Linked DNA regions of Elephas maximus indicus. The protein of the gene in region 2 purifies or fractionates together with the protein of the main gene of each other region. This does not show direct contact. Links are inferred from orthologs where the notes say so. Each region holds a gene or a part of one and is shown on either strand. Other genes may lie near its edges.

What was found. The genes of interacting proteins can lie anywhere in the genome.
Region 1: the proteins of mitotic-spindle organizing protein 2B (region 2) and TUBGCP5 purify together in Homo sapiens (affinity purification with mass spectrometry; 3 studies listed by BioGRID and IntAct, counting the BioPlex papers as one, with this or other methods). This does not show direct contact. The link is inferred for Elephas maximus indicus from reciprocal best matches to the Homo sapiens genes MZT2B and TUBGCP5.

What each region holds. Positions count from the first base shown.
Region 1 is NC_064831.1:105,971,256-105,974,998, forward strand, and holds the start of TUBGCP5 (gamma-tubulin complex component 5), read right to left. Parts: upstream 2,354-3,743; 5' UTR 2,304-2,353; coding exon 2,158-2,303; intron 1-2,157. UniProt on the Homo sapiens protein: Component of the gamma-tubulin ring complex (gTuRC) which mediates microtubule nucleation.
Region 2 is NC_064840.1:21,597,627-21,601,369, reverse strand, and holds the start of mitotic-spindle organizing protein 2B, read left to right. Parts: upstream 1-996; 5' UTR 997-1,338; coding exon 1,339-1,502; intron 1,503-1,669; coding exon 1,670-1,818; intron 1,819-2,610; coding exon 2,611-2,775; intron 2,776-3,743. Other genes in the region: SMPD4 (sphingomyelin phosphodiesterase 4), read right to left, coding at 653-727. UniProt on the Homo sapiens protein: Required for the recruitment and the assembly of the gamma-tubulin ring complex (gTuRC) at the centrosome.

The sequences.
Region 1 (3,743 bases), on a different chromosome or scaffold from region 2:
AATTCTTATGTATGATAAAATTTTGAGAACCACTACAGTCCTAGCGGTTCTGGTTCTCAGAACTGGTCCCTAACCAGCAGTATTAGCATCGACCCGGGAACTTGTTGGAGATGCAAATTTGCAGCAGCGGTTTGAAACAGAATGAAATAGTTTGAAGCCATAGTTGGAACTGACTTGAAAGCAATGGGTTTTTTACTTCACACTATAGGGTTACTATGAGTTGGAATTGACTCAAGGGCAATGGGTATGGTTTTTGAGTTTTTTTTGGGGGGGGGTGGGGGCTATAATTGTTAGATTTGTTTCTGTCTTCCTGAAGGATAAACCCAAACACCCATTGCTGTTGAGTCAATTCAACTCATAGTGACCCTACAGGACAGAGTAGAACTGCCTCTTAGGATTTCCAAGGTGTAATCTTTACGGAAGCAGACATCTTTATCTTTCTCCTGAGCCGCTGGTGAGTTCGAAAGACTGACCTTTTGCTTAGCAGCCGAGCACTTAACCACTGCGCTACTAGGGCCCCTTTCCTCAAGGATAGAGGATATATTTTACCTATCTGTGAATTTCTCGGGCCTAAATCAGGTCATCATGAGTCAGAATGGACTTAGCAGGTGACTAAGGATAACAACAAAACATGGCCACAGTTTTCAAAATGTAAATGTGAATTGTTTATTTTTAAAGCATCATAAAATTACTTTTTCTTTCATTTTTAGTATCAAAGCCAGTAATCAGTACTTAAAATAAGAAGCAAATTATACTACCAAAAACCACATCTAATTCTATTCCTGTAATTGGCTGTGTGGGAATACCACTTTACCTACCATAATTTAGTTTCTCCATCTGTAGAAGACAGTAACTTCTAATGCCTTTCCTAACTCTAAAAAGGCATCTACCTACCACCATTTATAAATATTAATAGAAAAGTCATTTGGGACAGGGAATTTAAATTTGTCTTCTATGAGCTACTTCACACTGTGTTATTTCTACAAGTTAAATTTAAGAATTTAGTTTACTGCAGAAACTTGGCATGCTTTCGTGGGTTTGGAAGCCCTCTATTCTTATTATAATCCAAGTAGGCCCTTTACGGAGGAGCCCTGGTGGTGCAGTGGTTAAAGAGCCCAGTTGCTAACCGAAAGGTAGGCAGTTTGAACCCACCAGCCACTCTATGTGAGCAAGGATGTGGCAGCTTCCATAAAGATTTACAGCCTTGGAAACCCTACGTGTCAGACCTACTCTGTCCTTTAGGGTTGCTATGAGTCGGAATTGACTCACTGGCTGTGGTTTAGGCACTTTATGACCATTGAAGTTAATAATCAAAATTATAATTTTTGAAAAACTGTTTAGTGTTCAAGAAGATTTTCACTCAATTTAAACAGAATATTAACATTGACTAACTCATCTTTGAGTAATAATTCCATTACAGGTAATGATCATAACAGTATTGTCTAGTTTACATCTTCCATAAAGATTACTTCAACCTAAATATCTAAGTTGCATAAATCTTTAAAAGATGATTAAACCTTTAATTTAATTAATTAAAAGTTAATTAGATGAGCTGTATTAGAAGCTGTATTCGGCGACTTTGGGCACTCTGTGCCAGTAACTGTTCTAGGTGCTGGGACACAGCGATGATCAAAACTGATGAAGGTCCCTGTCCTCGTCGAATCTGCATTCTAACTGGAGGTGGGGGTGCTGGGGCGCGCATTTCCTATCTTGAGGGAGGTACCACCCTACACAGGAGGTGGGCGATACAAACAGCGGACGACAGATAAATTCTCCAACGCGTTACAGTGCGCACTCTGGGGGAAAAAGGAGCGCAGAGGGAGGCAGATCTGGACTGAGCCAGTGAGGGCACGATTCCAAGCAGGGTGCGATCCTGTCTTCCCGTAAGGGCTCACCCCCCGAGCGCAGGGAACCCCAGGGAACAGGACAGGCAGACCCGCTGTCCGGGGGCGCACGTCCTAGGACGCGGGCCGACCTCAGCGGCTCAGGCGCAGCTGCAGCGCGCGAACGTCACCGCGACAGGGGCACGGGGGCACCGGCGAGCCCCCCTCGAGGCCACCCCGCCACCCAGGCACCCAGGCCCCACCGGCAGCGCCCGCCGAGCCCAGAGCTCCCTCGGGCTGCACCCGGGGCTCCACCGCGCGGCGGGGACCACACCTGAAGTTGGACCAGGCGAAGTGCTGGGCGAGCTGGAAGTTGGGGTCCGCCTCGTCCTGGAGGCCTGTCACTCGCCGGACCAGCTCGCGCACTTGTAGCTCCTGCTGTCGCTCCAGGCGGCTCCAAGGCGGCCGAGGCCCGGCCATGCCCTCCCGCCGTCGGCGCCGGAGCCACAGGCTGGGTCTGACGAGGTTACAGTTCCTCTCGCGATAATTGGTGCGGACTCGGCCTCGGGCCTCCGCGAGATTCCGGCTCTCGCGAGAGTCAGCGCTCCCGCCACACGGGGCGCGCGGGGGTCAGAGGTTGTGCGCATGTCGGGGCATGGCTGCCGGATGGTCGGGGGCGGCGTGTGGGTTCCCAGTAGGAGCGCGTGGGTCGGGGGTAGTCGGGGGGCGCTGTGTGGGTTCCCAGCAGGAACGGGTGGGTCGGGGGCGGCGTGTGGGTTCCCAGCAGGAGCGGGTGGGTCGGGGCCGGGGTGCCGGGTGGTCGGGGGCGGCGCGTGGGTTCCCAGTAGGAGCGCGTGGGTCGGGGGTAGTCGGGGGGCGCTGTGTGGGTTCCCAGCAGGAACGGTTGGGTCGGGGGCGGCGTGTGGGTTCCCAGGAGGAGCGCGTGGGTCGAGACCGGGCTGCCGGGTGGTCGGGGGCAACGTGTGGGTTCCCAGTAGGAGCGCGTGGGTCGGGGCCGGGGTGCCAGGTGGTCGGGGTCAACGTGTGGGTTCCCAGCAGGAGTGCGTGGGTCGGGGACGGCGTGTGGGTTCCCAGCAGGAGCGCGTGGGTCGGGGGTGGTCAGGGGGCGGCGTGTGGGTTCCCAGCAGGAGCGCGTGGGTCGGGGGTGGTCGGGGGGCGGTGTGTGGGTTCCCAGTAGGAGCGCGTGGGTCGGGGCCAGGGTGCGGGGTTGGTTGGGGGGCGGCGTGTGGGTTTCCAGTAGGAGCGCGTGGGTCGGGGCCGGGCTGTGGGGTGGTTGGGGGCAGCGTGTGGGTTCCCAGCAGGAGCGCGTGGGTCGGGCCAGGCTGCGAGGTGGTTGGGGGCAGCATGTGGGTTCCCAGTAGGAGCGCGTGTGTCGGGACCGGGCTGCCGGGTGGTCGGGGGACGGCGTGTGGGTTCCCAGTAGGAGCGCCTGGGTCGGCAGTGGTCGGGGGGCGGCGTGTGGGTTTTCCAGTAGGAGCGCATGGGTGAGTCTGAAAGTGTTGGGGGGGGGGCAGTTTTACCCGAAGAGCCCCTGGGTGGTGCAAACGGTTAATGTGCTCAGCTGCGACTGAAAGGTTGCGGGATCAAGTCCCCCCAGAGGCGCCTCAGAAAAGCTTGGCAATCTGTTTTCGAAACCGCAGCCTTTGGAGACCCTGTGGGGCACAGTTACGGTCTGATGCAGGGGGGCGCAGTGAGTTAGCGTTGACCGCAGCCCTTGGAAACCCTGTGGGGTACTGCTGTGCTCTGATGCATGGGGGTGCGGTGAGTTAGAGTTGACCGCAGCCCTTGGAGACCCTGTGGGGTGCAGTTGTACTTTGATGCATGGGGGCGCGGTGAGTTACCGTTGACCGCAGCCCTTGGAGACCCTGTGGGTTACAGTTGTGCTCTGATGCATGGGGG
Region 2 (3,743 bases):
GAGATCTTTCCAAGAAGCTGTTTCCCCGCACACTCTGTCCTCCCAGCGTGCAGCATCCACGCTCCTCCCAGTCACACCCCTCCGCGACTGTGCAACAAGCGTTTGTTTTATCCCGCCCCTTAAACACCCACTTTCTTCAGGAGCTGCTTCACACCCTGCTGTGGGGTTTGTTCTGAGGCCGGTAGCTGCTCCCGCCCTAGGCGAAGCAGCGGCATCCTCCCGTTTGTCGCTCACAACTGTCCTGTGAAGTGGGCATCGGGCCCTCATGTTGCAGAGGAGAACTGAAGCTTGGAGCAGTCGAGTCACATAGGAAGGAAGGGTCGGGCTGAGACCCAAACCCAGTCTTCCTCCCACACCACTCCCTGAGCCACAAGGCACAGCTTTAACTCGAAGCTCTCCTTCCTTGAACTCGTTAAACGAATGTTAACCGAGCACCTACCGGGACAGGTGTGCGAGCCGCCCGAATAAGTGACATGGAGGTGCAGCCCCGACCCTAGGCCGCCCCCGCCCGCCCCGGCCGGTGCAGAGACGCTGGGATCCAGCCCGAGTCCTGGGGCTCATGGAGGGGCGGCGACGCCCGGTGGGCCTCGGCAGGGACGTCAGGAAGCCGCCACGGTGCAGGGATGTCTCGCGGGCGGCTCCCACCACTCACCTGGGGCGCCCACAGCGCCGTTCGATTCAGGGCCCAACGCCGCCGTTCCGAAACCCAGCGCCTAAGTGTCGTCATCAAACTGCGCGTGATGTTACACCCCCAGCCCTGGCCAGGCGGGAAACGCGCTGCTACCCCTTCAGGAACCTGACTTAAAATGCGCGTGCGCAGAGGTAAGGCCTCCTGAGTTTGTGGGCGTCCGCCACGGAATGCGCGTGCGCAATGGGGGCGTTTGAGCCCTATACGCGGGAGCTCGTGCGCCATCTCCCTGGCCAGGAGTGCGCGTGCGCATAAGCAGAGGTCGCTTATTAGGCCCACCGAGGAGCGCCTCCTAGTGGTGAACAGGCACCTAACGATTACATGTGGCGCAGAAGACGTAGCAAGCGTTTATTGAGCGCCTACTATGTGCTCGACACTGGGCTGAGCGCTGATACTCGAACAAGCACGACCAACGCAGTCTAGCCCGGAATCGCCCAGGAGCGGATCCGGGCGGTTCATCTTGGGACCCCCTAGCCGATGCACAATAGGCGCTTAATAAATGCTACGGGGTCGGATGGCGGCACGGACGGAGTCCCGGCCCCCCTGCCCTCGCAGGTTTGGCGGCGGAAACGGCCAGGAGGGGGCGCTGTGGCGCGGAAGGCGGGGCCGAGGCGCGGGCGCCCAGTGCGCGCGCAGTTCCCGCCGCGCTGATGGCGGCGCCGGGCTCCGGGCCGGGGCAGGGGCCGCCGGCGGGGCTGGAGGCAGCCCTGCAGAAGCTGGTGCTGCGGCGAAAGAAGGTGCTGAGCGCCGAGGAGATGGAGCTCTACGAGCTGGCGCAAGCGGCGGGCGGCGCCATCGACCCCGACGTTTTCAAGTGAGCGGGTGCGGGAGGCTTGGCGCTCGGCCGACCCCGGCTCCGCTGGCCTGGAGGAGTCCCGCCCTTAACTGGCGGCCACTGTAGGGATGGGGTCCTGCGGGCGCGCCGAGCAGGCCCGGCCCCGGCTAGTGGGCTCACTGCGCCCGCTTTTTTGTTCTCGCCAGGATCCTGGTCGACCTGCTGAAGCTGAACGTGGCCCCGCTTGCTGTCTTCCAGATGCTCCAGTCCATGTGTGCCGGGCAGAGGCTGGCGAGCGAGCCCGCGGACCCTGCAGCCCTTCCTCTGCCCGCGGCCAGCGTGCCTGAGACTCGAGGTCAGAGCTGGGGCCGCCGGCACAGGGAGAGGGCAGGACGTGCGTAGAGGCTTGGCGCGGAGCGGCCAGACCTTTCTGTTGGTTTTGCTTCTGGAGCCGCAGGGCCCATTGCAAGGGCTTGCTCCGTGATCGCTGCTGCCCTCGAGGGGGCACCTCCAAATCTGGGGTGCTCGGGGAGGGTGCCCCAGGGCAGCCCAAGCAGGCCAGCGCTCCTCTGGACCCTTTGCATCCCCAGCACTCTTCCCGCCTCTTCTCTATACCTTCATTTCACAAACACGGGGGACAAGATGGTTTTGGTCCCTGTCCTCGGGGGGTGGGGCAGGCAGAAGCTTTCCTGGCACCCCCTTGCTCATGCCGCACTCCAGCCCAGGCCCTTCCTAGGGGTCTGGACTGCAGGGTGGGGGCCTACAGTGGCCCCTAGCTTTTCTAGAACATGCAGCACTCCCAGCTTGCGGGGATGCAGAGGTGACTGTGGGGTGCATAGGTGCTGGAACCACAGTGCCTGCTCCAAATCACCCTCCGTGTGTGTCGTTTCTGCCCCCCGTGGCCATTGGAGACTCAATGAGACTCAGTAGAACTTCCCAGGCAAGTGACAGGGGTCCAGGGCTTCCTCCCTGCCCAGAGGCCTGTGGGCACTGCACGGGCGTCCTGGGAAGGGGCTGGTGTCTGGGTGGTGGGAGTGCAGGGCCCTGGGTGCCTGCGCCCGTCCTAACAGGCCCTGGGCACGTGCGCTCCAGCCTCCACACTGACCATGCTCTGTCTGCTCTCTTTGTGTCTCTCTCCGACCTCCAGAGGCCTCCCTTCTCTCTGCCAAGAACAGTAGCCCCCCTGCAAGGCCCTCCTTTCCCGCGGCCTCTCCGGTTCTGCTCCACGGCCCGGCTGCCACGCTCTCGCCTCTCTCTCCGGGGCCCCCTGGTTCCCTCCGGTTCTCTTGCTGCCTGTTCTCTCCTTTTGCAGGTTGCGTTTATTGGCTTATCTCTGGGGGTTGGTGCTCTCATTTCCGTGGAAACGGCTGTGGCCCCAGCCGGCCAGATCAGCCTCAAGCTGCAAGGGCAGTACCACGAGCCAGCCGTGTCACCGTGTAGACACAGAGGGCACGATCTCAAGGTTAGAGATGACCTGCAGAACTTGTAGGCCATGCATTCAGACAGGTGTTAGGGGGAGGGACCTGCACCCCCACACCTCCTAGCTAATCCCGCTAGGTGTTAGCTAGGTGAGACTCCAAGGGATGACAACAGGCAGAGAAGCAGGGAGAGGCCTGAGGACAGCATGGGTGCTGTGGCAAGCACAGCCTTTGGCCTGGACATGCTTCAGCCTCTCGGAAGCTGTCACCTGGACAGGCTCCTAGGCCTCGGGGAACCTCCCGGAGGGTGAGGTGGAGATGCTGGTCCGTCCCCCAATTTCCCTGGCAGTGGTGCATGACTGACTTGTGCTTGCGAGTCCCCTTTCCTGCCTGGTGTCTGAGCCAGGCTACATTCCAGGCCTGGTGGTGTGATGAGACTGGGGTCCTAGAGCCAGGGGGTGGTGAGGGCCTGAGGTCCCCTAGGGTGCTGGTGTTGTGCCTCCCTCATGCCCCTCCCCGCATCCCCACCTCGCTATTGCAGGTGCCACCGGAAACTCAGGGCATGGCTGTCTCCCACACCTCCCTTCTTGAGGCCCTCCCCACAGACCAGCAGCCACCCTCCTGTGCCTCACTGCTCAGGCCCAGGGAGGTGCAGGGAAGGCCGATGATAGGAGCAGGAGTGGGTGGATTGCCAGGCTTCGATGAGGGAGCAGAACATTGCCTTGGGCCAGGGCATCCTACTTCTTGGAGGAGACAGAGTACTTATGCTTTGTAAACCTGGGTGCTGGGCACAGTAGGGAGGCAGGATGGACAAAGAGACAGGGGTGGCAGTGGGGCCAAGTCCAGTCCTGGGCAGCTCTGC